Linked DNA regions of Styela clava. The protein of the gene in region 2 purifies or fractionates together with the protein of the main gene of each other region. This does not show direct contact. Links are inferred from orthologs where the notes say so. Each region holds a gene or a part of one and is shown on either strand. Other genes may lie near its edges.

Region 1 (7,528 bases), on a different chromosome or scaffold from region 2:
GAGTTTGGAACCAGAATAGAATATACAACCGATCCAGTCGAGGCTGTTCAGGGTGCAAATGTCATTGTTACAGACACTTGGGTGTCTATGGGTCAGGAGGAAGAAAAGCAAAGACGTCTCAAAGACTTCGCTGGATATCAAGTCACAATGAAGGTTATTCTTAACATTTAAAACTTTCTCATTGTGGATTTTCTGCTGATGCACAGTTGTTGATGTGTGTTTGCAAGTTTTTCTCACATTGTTACTCAGACTTCATCACTGTTTGTTCCTGCGATTAGGGCTGTCCAAAATCGAATAATTTTTTGATTCGAATCGAATATTTTGAAATGAACCGAATAATCGAATAATATTGCGCAATCCTAAATCTGTCTCTATTATACAATAAACGTCTGCCCTTCGATGTTGTGGTGACGTATGTGCAGTTACATCTTACTTACTGCTGGTATTTTGCAATACAATGTTTTCAGATTTATGAAAGGAGATCACACATTTGTATGAACTGGTCAAACAAATTGGAGGACTCCAAAATTTGGGTCTCAAACTGTTGAGATTTAAGAGCAAAAATTGCACAATTCAAAAATTGCAATCTCAATTCTAATGGATTCAGTTTTAATAGGACATTTAAAGCCTGTAGATGCTATTTTAATCCTATTCACTAGGGTGACGTTTTTTTGTGTAATTTTCAGCAAAATAATAACAACCATTAATATAGATAAAACTGTTGCTCAAATTCAAAATTGCGTTTAACAATTTCGAAGCTAGTTTGATGACTATAATATTGTTAGTGTAAAACAGCCATCAAAATTCAAGAGTGCAATTATTTGTCTTGGTATAAAGATGGATAATACAGTATTGCCAGTATAAGAAATTACAAATTCTATTGAAAGAAGGTGTTGCCATCATAAGGATCCCAGAACACCTGTTTCAGCTTTGAGTTGCCTGTAGCAAGTTCCTATGATAACTGACTTAACAGCTTCAAATAGATTCTATTTATAGAACTATGTTTTCTAAATTGCCTTTTTCTCCATGTTCTCTCTCAAAAACGTCATTACTGATAACTTTTAAGTTATGATGACCATGCATAAAATGGCTAATCACGTGCCACCGGGCGGGCATTAGGAATGACATGTTTATCACAAAATGAAGGCGAGAGAAATATCGGGAAACCAATTAAGCCTGGAGCGAGAATGGTCTAAACTCTAAAACTTCCTGCAAAGGTGGTTTCCGCTTTATGTACCTAATCTTAGCGATTCGATTTCGAATATTTGGTTCGCTTAGACGGCCCTACCTGCGATACACTGTGATTTGGTCATTGAATTTATTATACAAGACCAGTAACAGGCTGATGCAACTTCATAAAACAGCTAAAATTGAAGAGAATATTTAACTTTTGCAACAAATATTGTTAGTAACTAAATACGATATTATTGACATTAGATTTTTGAACACATGCCCATTTATTATATCTTTTTTTGAAAGGTTTTCACTTTTTTGCTTCTAGGTATGGTGAAACTATGTTTTTTGACTTAATCTTCTCATTTCAGCATAATTTATTTCGTTACACATACATACTAGTTATTGGGTTAGAACAGGGCTTCCCAAACTGGAGGTCACGACCCCAAAGGGGCATGCAAAAATTTTTAGGGGTCGCAAAGAGCACCAATTGCATACAAAGTACTTTATCTATTGTACTTTTAATTCAAAACACAATTATTAAAACTAATGGAAAACATGAATCTTACGATTTCGAGATAATACCTAGGATCAGAGAAGCAGCGCACTTGCCTAACAATGACGACTTTGATTGTGAGACCCGATAAGCGGCATGCTCTTCTGAATAGGGGGTTGCATAAAATTTCAACAAATTGGAAGGGGTTGCGAGCTTGGAAGTTTAGGAAGCCCTGGGTTAGAACATAAGCATTTCCAACTTCGGCGCTAACTCGAATATTAAATCAGGGGCGAAGCATTGGTTTCCAAATTTATGAATGTGAATCAATATTTTTATTCAAATGTCTGTATTAATATTTTCTTAGATGTGCAAGGGTGCAGCAGATGACTGGTGTTTTCTTCATTGTCTTCCACGAAAACCAGAAGAAGTTGATGATGAAGTTTTCTATTCCAAAAAATCTCTGGTTTACCAAGAAGCTGAAAACAGAAAATGGACTGTGATGGTATGAGCGTAGAAAACAATTGAGTAAACTGTTGTTTAGCATATTTTTATCATAAATATATACCATTTAATTGGTGTCTCTAAATGAGTCAATGAAATTTAAATTTCTTCACCATGCTCGCTAATATTTGTTCAGTGAGTGTATATTTTTCACATAAAATACTTGGTATTCGTGGTTGCTGCTTACTTTGCTCAGAGATCAATCCGCACAATTTTTGAGCGAGTTCCCGTGTGTGTGTGACCTTGCTTTACTCTTATAAAGCAAAATACTCTTATAAAGCAAAGCGTTAAGATTAGTTTTTGTATATATTTGATAGTTTCATCTTGTATTTCTTTATTTCAGGCTGTGCTGGTGAACTTGATGAAGGGCTATCACTTAAAGTAGAAGCTCTGGTATCGGGCATGTTGCAATTGATGAAACAGTGCATTTAACCTGTTATGGTACCTTCATTCCGATATGTCACTGCCGCCCTTGTATTATTTGAAATTTTCTAATATTCGAATAGCGATAGAAAGTCTGTGGATATGAATATTGCATTTTTTGCTTCTTCTGTAAAAAAATTTGATGAAAATTTCGACTTTGCGTGTGAAATTATTATTATTTTTTATCTTCAAGCTTATAATGGTTGCTGAAACAGAGCATCAACAGATTCAGCCCAGTTGAAATTAAGCTATGGTAGTTTACGAAACACTGTACACAATAACACAGAAGCCTCTTCAGTGTCCCTCCAATAGGTTCCCTAATTTGGAAGGAAAGATTGATGGACTTCAGTCTTGATGTTGATTCTATTTACGTTAACGGAGACTTATGTTCCTTAAAATTTACGTCCCCTCGATCATTGATTAAAGATTTTTAAGGACTATTGTTGAATTGAAATACATGCAGTTATTTTCGAGTAGAAAATCTAGTTTCAATTATTTCCAATTTGAATTTATTTCATTACAATATCTTATCCAAACGACGGCCATGTACCTTGAATACGCCACATATAACAATTAAGATAGGATAGGATTTACATATTCATCTCTGGAGAGAGAAAATCAAACAAAACGGCTTAAATATATGACCATCTCTTCCGGTTACAAGTCCCTGTCGGGTGAAAGAGAATTTATTTTTTTCGTCAAAGCAGAAAACGTGATGATTCAATACAATAGTAAATATATAATTGGACGTTACATAATGCAGTTTTCGGTTGATTACTGGGTGATAACGATACGACCATAATATGTTATGGGATTAGCTAGCCATTTATTTGTCATATGCATGGTTCACTTGATGGTGAAAAAAACCGTAACAGACCAGCGGTTATTTGAATCACCCTTATTCCGCGGCGAGGAGTCTAGCAATCTTGCACGCATAATTATACCAGCATGAGATTCGAACCCGGTGTGGTGTCGAGCGTATTCCTAACGGATTTAGAGGACCCAACAATTATTTCGTTTATTGGACACGTAGTGGACATAACGATCGTTTCAATATATATGTTCTTGTTCTTTGACACGTTTTTAAAAAGTCGCTTTTCTCTTCGAATACTGGACCAATTGCTTTGAAATTTTCAGTGGTTAAAGATAAAAATTTTCTCCAGAAGGCTATTACTTTTTTTTCTGCTATGACGTCATCAAAATTATGTAACTCTACGTGTCCATATATTTGAGCATAGCTCTCTTGTAATTAATATTGCATTATATGTTGTTTTATTATTATTTGTTATTGTATCATCATGTTTTCTGGTTCGACGAAAAAATAAATGTTCTCTCTCACCACGAAGCCTTTCAAATAGGAGTGGAATTTTTATTTTATTGGGGGAATACAAAATCCCATTCAAATAACTTAGCGAGGATATAAAAAAAATCAATATTTTCCTGATCCCAAAGAGAATGGGTCGATATGAAGTTAGGTTGGAGGTACATTCAATTTGTTTATCATTGCGTACCGTTGGGGTCCATATTATCTAACAAAAACAAATGAATAAATACAGCCAACTACAAAAATAGCACAAACTTTGTATTCTCGTATATTTGATACTTCTTAATTGAGTATTTGGAATATTGCTATCGATATTCAGTGGGCTTTAACTACGCTGTATGCCAGCATTTTTTGGGTATTTCTTACCAAAAAAAAATTCTTTTTTATGTTCACGATGAAACCAGAGCCATTATATATTTACGAATATATAACGGCTCTGATGAAACTGTATCGTGAAACCGTTTTCTCGCAAATGTAACATTCTCGCCCCGATATCTCAACGCATTCATCCGTGGCTACACACATGTTCGCTGAGCTGAGCGATTTTCAGAAAATCGATTGTCCTGTTGTTCGTTTCTGCCATCTTACAGTTTTAGCATCGGCCTGGTTGCTTTTTTGCATACCGTTTATCTAATAAATTCACATAAAATGTCGGGAGAAAGCGAAGAATTCAAAACCGTTCGGAGTAGAAAAATGAAATCTAAAAGAAAGATGGAGATGGATGATTCGGGACCCACGATCAAAAGACCACATTTTCCACAGATAAGTGGGGACAAATTATTGGTAAATAACTAATTTAATGATATAGTGGTATTAAATACTGAAACTTTGATTTCTTGAAATGGTTCTATTGCTACTTACCGGGTTTGAACTGATTAAAAATCCTGAAATCAGGATAATTTAAAAATCATTATTTAATGAGCCTTCCATCCCTTAATTGCAAAAGTTTTTAGAACTACAGTGCTTTGTTTTTACACTGAGTGAGGATGGACTATAAACGAATAATAATGACGGCCTTGGCCCAGTGGTTCGTGCATCATGCTAGTCGATGCTTTGATAGGAATACGCTTGTAATGGCATCTTTGATTACATTGCATGGATTCGAATCCTGTGGGGAATGATTATGTGTGAGAGGATTGCTGGGCTGCCCGATGGGTGGTTATACAGTTATAGCTTCTTTCGCCCATGTCCAGATGTCTGCATATGTTTAAAACAACTCATGAAATTATTGCCCTAATCGACTTGGACTGATAACCCAGACTGGATTCCATGGCAGATGCACGCCCGAGGGCGCTAGCGCTCCACAAAAATGCACGCGAGCGAATTCAATTTTGCACGCCGAAAATTTGCAATTGCTCACCAATGTAAATCGGTTTAAATAGTTTTTAAATCAATAATCTAGTAATATAAAAATGCCAAAAAATTATAACTTTACAATTGTCGACTAATACTTGCTCGCAAGATTTGGCCTGATCGAAAAATGCGAAGCAAAAATCACCATATCGTGTTGAATGATAGGAATCCCGTGAGAAAAATCGCCTCCTCACCGACGCTGGCCAGTTATGGCTCTGATTCAGCGTATTTTTAATACAATAATTTTACACGGATGTACTGAACAGTACCGGTATCTACTCTCTCTCGCACAAACACTTTCAAAATTAGTGACAAAATATAGAAATGATGTTTTGGGGGTCAAAGGTCAAACGTCCATTTTTGCTATGATCCAACTTATTTTTACGCGGATGTATTGAGAGGTATCTTAGTTCGAAATCAGTTTAGCGGGCGCAGTTGTTTTGCACGCCAGAAATTCTTATTTGCACACGGGAATTTCTGATTGCACGCCCGATTTCTCGTTCGAAAAGGCCATGAAATCCAGACTGGCTGATAACCGGACGAAATGCTGTGGTTTCCATATGAATAAGCTGCCTTATTGTATTCCCTTCTTTTAAATATGACAGTACAGTAGTATGATTTGCTCTTGGTAACGATTGGGATAATAGAGTATACTGATATTGTGTTAAAAAGGTGGTGCAGGATAAACTTTTCAGGCTTACTAGTCCGGTTCTGGCATGGGAATGTCTTTCAAAATGTTAGTTCTACAGTTCTAGGTTAACGTTTTCATTACTATTTATTCTTTTTTTGAAGAAGCTTTAATGGATTATATTATTTCACCAGGATGGAAAGAAAGATTTCAGAAAAATTCCTGTGCCAGCTAACAGATATTCACCATTGAAAGAAAATTGGTTAAAAATATATTCTCCTGTTGTTGAACAACTCAAGTTACAGATAAGATTTAACCTCAAAACTAGGAATGTAGAATTACAGGTGAATAAATCATCCTTTCTCTACGTTTCATGATGATTTTGTTCTAGAAGAAAATCTGGACATCATATTTCAATTCCAAATTTTATTTGTCGGTTGTGTTAGATTCTTGAAAACTATCGAGGTTCAACTGTATAAATGATGTGAACTAATCAGTTACCTATTTTATGATTGATATAACAACATTAAATACAATTCAACTGTCCAAAGTACAATAGCCAGTTGTTTCTTTTCATAGAGCTTGCTATAGTACCGTCTATTTTGGAAATCATCATTTCTATTCAAAATCCTTGATCATTAATAATTGCTTGTTGAATTTATCAGTCTCATTTATTTTGTGATCGCTAATATCAGATTTTTAGTCTTTGGTCGAATACAATAATTTTGTCAATTTGAATATTGATTACGGTATCTACAATACCTGTTGGGCAGCTACATTAGGGAGAATATAATTGGCTTTCCCCCAATTTTTTTACTCAAACTTATCAGCATAATAAACAATATACAAGGCAATAACCTTTGATTTTATTATAATATTTTTATAATTCTTTTCAAGACTTGCAAACAAACTACAGATATTGGAGCATTACAACGAGGTGCAGATTTTGTCAAAGCGTTTATATTAGGTTTCACTGTTGAAGATGCACTTGCGCTTGTTAGGCTTGATGAACTTTTTCTTGAATCTTTTCAGGTTACAGACGGTGAGTATCATCAATGTTGCATATATTCTTTATGTGTGATTAAATTTGCTTTAAACAGAATAACAGTAAATGAAAATTAGGTAACACACATCCTTTATGAGCTGTGTAATGACCATGTTGTTTATTAATCTGGGATTCTTTGCACATATGTTATGTTCTCTATAGAATATGTTTTAATTGACCTGGGTTCTGTTTTTGGGGGTCACTTTTTGTAACTATATTGTTAGCTGGTTAATGAATCTTAGTGGTAATTTAGTTTTTACCAAGCTCAATTCAACTCCAATCCTGTATTTGTTGTTGATTTTTGAAAATATTTTCAGATTCTTCGGCTTCATTTGTTCATATTTTTTTTTCAGTTAAGCCGTTAAAAGGAGATCATTTATCAAGAGCTATTGGTAGGGTAGCTGGTTCTGGTGGAAGAACAAAATTCACAATTGAGAATGTTACGAAATCGAGAATTGTATTAGCTGATTCGTAAGTACATTTCAAATCTTCACTTTCACACTGCAGATTAAAATTGAAACAACAAGTTGATCATTTTTGTTGTGAATTCATGATTTCACTCAGTAATAATTGACATAGTCGTAT
Region 2 (5,841 bases):
AGATGGAAAAGGTTTTCATTATTTTGAAACATCAGCCGGTACGGGGGAAGGTGTAAATGAAATGTTCCAGGCCATGTTTAATGCATTAGTAGAACTATCTGAAAATGGAGGAAAGCGTGGTCCTGTAAACACCAATCTTGGTTTTACGAAAGAACAAGCCGATGCTATATTGAGGATAAAAAATGGACGTGATAATTATGAAAAACTTGGAGTACATCATTCTGCGACAAGAGATGATATTAATAAAGCTTATCGTAAGCTTGCTGTTTTGCTTCATCCTGATAAAAATGTAGCTCCTGGAAGTGAAGATGCATTCAAACTTCTTGTCAATGCAAGAACTGCATTGTTAAAAAATAGATGATCATTTGATTTTTTGAATATTTGTGCTTTTTTTTTGTACCATATATTTATTATATGTAATATCTATCAAACGATTTGAAATTATGAAAAATATGGCCCACAGGCGTTTAAAATCTTGAGTGGGGGAATATTTCTCAATTTCTATTGGTCATAAAGGTTATTTACCTTCAACCTTAAAAGCAGTTGCATAAAAGTTACGAGAAAGAAAAGTAAAGCACATAATGATATATCTAACAACAAACCGAGGATGAAATAAGTACATACAATTTAGAATTTTTCAAATGCAATCTTATAACAGATTAAATTCGGTGTAAAAGTTCGAGAAATCCCTTTAATATATAAGTGAGTGAGTGCATGTGGCCCTTGTTTGAACAAATTTCTTTATTCAATAGTCAAATTGAAAGTTTTTTTTAAATATTGCATCCATTATATCTAATACACCTGTTAACTAAATCAATTCATCGAAATTAATTATTTGTGTTGTGAATTGTGATGTCAGATTCTTAGATATCCTCATTATTACTAAAGCTTCAAATATTCACTCCTTCTGCATAATTTTAATGGAATTTTGAGTCAGATATCTGTACAAAACACTCTCCATTAATATTAGGTGCCGGTATTTATTATTAAGAGGAGTAATATAGTTTTATGATTTTGCCTTTATTTTTTTAATTTTTAGAGAAAAATATATATTTTTCACTATATTTCAAAATTTTGTATTTGTAATATTTTGTATACTATTCTGTTTAGTTAATTCTCTATTTTACCTATAATTTTAAACAACACATTACTAACTCTTTTATCTCATATGTATTACAAAATTATTGATGTAGTTAATAATTGGTTATATCAATGTCTCCAGCTATTACACACACATGTTTGTTAAATGTAGTGGTACCACATTTATGGAAAATAGTTATTATGTTAGTCTCAGATTATACATAGTTTTTTTTTTTCAATGAAAGTGTGGAAAATAGTGGCTGGATTGGAATATGTTTTCCTAAGTTGAATTGCTTCAAAATTTACTAAAAATTCATGTCTGAGAATTTATACTACTAACCTGGGCAGTGGCGCAACCAGCGGGGGGGTTACGGGGGTCGTGTCCCCCCCGTTTGAATTTCGTTTTTTTTATTATTGTTCTACGTTAAAACAACGTCGTTCCACAGTCATAACAATCGGGTGAAAACTACTTTTTTCCAGTGCTTTATCACCTCGACGTAATTTAACACCGCCCGACTTCAATCATACTTTTTTGCTGATAGTTACGTAATAATCGCTAACGCCGCGTATATGTTTGTATTCGAAAATGAGATATGTTATCTCAAAAAAGTAGAAATCGCGCGCTGTCGATGCGAATTGAAAGCGACAATAGCATAATGCTATCTCTCTCTCTCTTGTGACGAATACTCTCGTGCTTCATCATCTTGACGCAATGTAACGCCGCCCGTCTTCATGTTATAATAATGCAGTAGAAACTCTGAAAATCTGGATACGAAAATTATTTTCGGAAAAATATTGCTTCGAATAACCTAAGATTTTCTACATATGAAAGGCCGAAAACGCCGTAAACATCCTACCGCCCCCGTCCACGTTCTGATTTAAAAACATTCCACAATTATTTCATTTTTATCGCAATCGAAAGCAGCCATGTGTGGCACGGCAATAACTAACGGTCGTCGTGAAAGGTTTTCAATAAACTCTGACTTGAAGTGCTTATAAGACGTCGAGGACGTTTTGGGTTGAAAATTTTTTACATTTGTTATCGTATATTTCAATTTAGTCAAGATATGTTGTGCGTCTCGGCAATAAACTTAAAAGCAAATCCTGTCCTAATTAATTGTTTTCATCCTCAGTTTCGATAGTTATCGAACTTAACGGGAAATTTTTTAATTTCTTGCAATCTATAAAATAGCTTCTAAATATTATTTGGTTTCTATCGGAGATTTTATCGTTATCCCGAGTCCTGACGTCGTTGATAACAATATCGTTCATTTTAAGTTGGAGGTATTGGTTTATAATCAAAAAATTATAACACATAACATGAAAAATTTAAATCAACGCTGACTCAAAAAGTAAAACACGTTTTTCCATCTTCATTCTCCATTATTGGCGGACGGAAATTTGGGAATCGGGATTAACTAATTTGATTATGATGACGATGGTAAACAAAAGTACACAAACATACTATACCGTTCTTAGTCGTTATTTCTCTGTCCTTTCTTCTTTCTATGTGCATATTAAGACCATAAAACGTGTTTTATTATTGAATTCTGCGCTGATTTGAATATTTCATGTCGGCTGTTATGTATTTTTGTTTGTAAATGAATACCGCTAACTTTAACTGAACTGATGTTGTTATCAATGCCGGATGCCAACGAAATCCGCGATAGATATTAAATACTATTTAAGGGCTATTTTATACGCGCTAAATTAGAAGAAATGAAAAAATTTTCTGTTATGTTCGGTCACTATCGAAACTGAGGATGAAAACAACTAATTAAGACACAATTTGCCGAGGACGCCTAAACCATCTCGACTAAGTTAAAATACCCGATAAGAAAATATTTTCAATCAAAAACGTCCTCGAAGTCTTATAAGTTCTTCAAGTCGGCGTTTATCGAAAGTCTTTCATGTCAGCTGTAATATATTGCCGAACCACACATGGACGACGACGCCTAGGATATGTGCGCCATATTTGGGATTATTATAAACACGAAAAAACAGTATTTGAAGTTTGCGATATTTGAATTTAAATTCGATTTGGACATCCCTGCATTAAATTAGTCAGTTTTTAGTTGTGTTTCCAAAAATTAGTTGTAAATCAATTATTTTAATTGTCATTATGTCTTCCGGTGAGCTTCAGTTTAGTTTAGAATTTTTCCGGGGTTAGGGTCGGGAAAAGGTCCATTCGCAAGAAGTGCATTTTGTTTTTAGTCTTGACGAATTCACCCAACGAGCAAGGCGCGGCACGAGGGAAACACTGGAATTTATTCAAGCCGTGTTTCACTATCCACGAGGCGCAAAGCGAGGAAAACGTTGAAAATAATTAACAGCTTTTCGTTAGCAATTCGCTGGAATGTAATGAACGGCGTTTTGCTACCCACGAGGTGCAAGACATAGCGAAGCGCCGTTAAGAACGAGTGCAAGGTAAGCGAAAGGCTGGGATTTAATCGATGGCGTTTCCCTTTTAACCATGAGCAATTTATCGTGGTCAGCGGGGCGACACCTAGTGGCGTTGCGACTTACGTCGTGGTTGCACTGTGTAAATTCCGGTCGGACCCCCCCGTTGAAAACGGCCTGGTTGCGCCACTGAACCTGGGTTCATAATTGAGTATTTGCATGTGGTAATTTATTGTTCTAATGCTTTTGCAACATATGTTCTTTAAGCCATGTGGCAAGTTTTATACAGTTACTGTTTTTTAACTTCAGGTGCTGTAAATATATATTTAACATTATAATTTATATTTTTCTGTGTGATTTCATGCTTCCACCTTTTTTATTTTAATTTTAGATTTTCAAATATTACCATAATCAAGATAAAAATGGGAAAAAGTAAAAAAGTCAAAGCGAAGCGTGCAGAGCCTCTGGCTGTGAAGCAATCAGTTGGTCTGGTTGAGGATATCACAGCAGACAATGTTACTAAGGCGGCATCAAATCGGCAACCGAAGGTTCGATTCAGACAAGAAGAAGATGATTTTGTCGATAATCGATTAACAAAAAAAATTCTTGATGCAGCAGTAAAACAACAAAAAGAACTGGAAGGAGAAGTTGGGATCGGAGCTTCAAAATTTAAAACTGTAATAAAACTAGGAAAGAAAAGTAATTCCGATTCAGAAAATGAGGATGAAGATGAGTGGCCAAGTTTAGCAGAAAGTGCTGCTCTTGCCGCTTCAGGGGAATATCAAGATCAAGACATAGTTATAAATCAAGAAGATGAAAAAGCATTACAGGCTTTTATGAATCCTGATCCACCAACAAGAAGAACTTTAGCTGATATAATCATGGAGAAAATTACAGAAAAGAAAACCGATGTCTCTACACTAATGCCTGATGTTGAAAATCCCATGCCGGATATTGATCCTAGAATCATTGAAGTTTACAAAGATGTCAAAAGCATTTTAATTAGATACAGAAGTGGGAAGCTGCCGAAAGCATTCAAAGTTTTACCACATCTTAAAAATTGGGAAGAGATTTTGTATATCACGGAGCCGGATACTTGGAGTGCAGCTGCGTTGTATCAAGCAACAAGAATATTTGCTTCAAATCTTAACGTTCACATGGCTCAAAGATTTTTTAATTTGGTTTTACTGCCACGTATAAGGGATGATATTCATTACTACAAAAGATTGAACTTTCACCTTTTTATGGCATTAAAAAAGGCGCTTTACAAACCGGCAGCCTTTTTTAAAGGAATCATTTTGCCACTATGTGAAGAAGGTACATGTACTTTGAGAGAAGCTACAATAATCTCGAGCGTCATCACAAAATGCACGATACCTGTTCTTCATGCTAGTGCAGCAATGATCAAAATAGCAGAAATGCATTATAGTGGTGGTAACAGCATTTTTCTCCGAGCTTTGATTACTAAAAAGTATGCACTACCATTTCGAGTCATTGATGCTCTTGTGTTCCACTTCTCTCAGTTTCGTAACGACAAAAGGGAGTTGCCAGTGTTATGGCATCAATGTCTTTTATCCTTTGTCGAGACCTATAGAAATGATGTCTCTGATGAACAAGCAGATAGCTTGAGAGAGTTGCTGAGGTATCAAATCCATCCTAAGATCACACCAGAAATAAGACAACAACTCATGTCCAGGGAAAGCAAAGAAATTATAATGGAGGAACCTGAATAACAATGAAGTTTAATCTTGTAATCAATAAATTATAAAATTATTTTGACTGTTTTTTGACAGTAAGCAGTGTAGCAGGTATTAGCGTTTTAGATCTCGATGCAAAACTTCACATTTTCATTTTACTTGGCAGCGAGAGGCGTGTTTTGCCATTTGATTGAGTCCCTTTAATCTGGGTGTAAAATATGAGATTCATATCCTGAGAACACTTTATCAAAAAGTTTTGCATGTTTATAGTTCGTTTGTTTAATGTCGACTCTTGGTTTTCATCAGCCGGTTGTCTCAGTAACTAGGCCCCTGAATAAGTGAGGGCAATAATTCAATACCGAAATCCCGTCGCCCTTGATGGCATATCCCAGCATGCCATCCAGCATGTTTTTTTGTTTGTTCGTAATATGATTAAGATTATACACAGTAAAGTTGTCATTATAACTGTGTAATCTGAAAAGTTCATGACCATATGGAAGCGCAAAATCTGCTGCCACGTGACAAGCGGGTTACGTGGTCCTTCCAGTGATAGGCTGAACCATGGGTCCAGGCGTCCAGCGATCCCGTCACATACTATAAACATCCACGGGAATAAATTCCGTTCACACCTCAGAATCATCTAGTAACTATGGTTCATTTGTGA

Evidence for each region.
Region 1: the proteins of bystin-like (region 2) and RNA-binding protein PNO1-like fractionate together in Homo sapiens (co-fractionation; 4 studies listed by BioGRID and IntAct, with this or other methods). This does not show direct contact. The link is inferred for Styela clava from reciprocal best matches to the Homo sapiens genes BYSL and PNO1.

Annotation. Positions count from the first base shown.
Region 1 is NC_135261.1:15,432,636-15,440,163, reverse strand, and holds the start of RNA-binding protein PNO1-like, read left to right. Parts: upstream 1-4,432; 5' UTR 4,433-4,565; coding exon 4,566-4,700; intron 4,701-6,092; coding exon 6,093-6,242; intron 6,243-6,795; coding exon 6,796-6,940; intron 6,941-7,296; coding exon 7,297-7,414; intron 7,415-7,528. Other genes in the region: ornithine transcarbamylase, mitochondrial-like, read left to right, coding at 1-153, 2,034-2,171, 2,514-2,555. UniProt on the Homo sapiens protein: Part of the small subunit (SSU) processome, first precursor of the small eukaryotic ribosomal subunit.
Region 2 is NC_135262.1:15,087,737-15,093,577, reverse strand, and holds bystin-like, read left to right. Parts: upstream 1-3,902; coding exon 3,903-5,213; 3' UTR 5,214-5,254; downstream 5,255-5,841. Other genes in the region: dnaJ homolog subfamily C member 27-like, read left to right, coding at 1-361. UniProt on the Homo sapiens protein: Required for processing of 20S pre-rRNA precursor and biogenesis of 40S ribosomal subunits. May be required for trophinin-dependent regulation of cell adhesion during implantation of human embryos.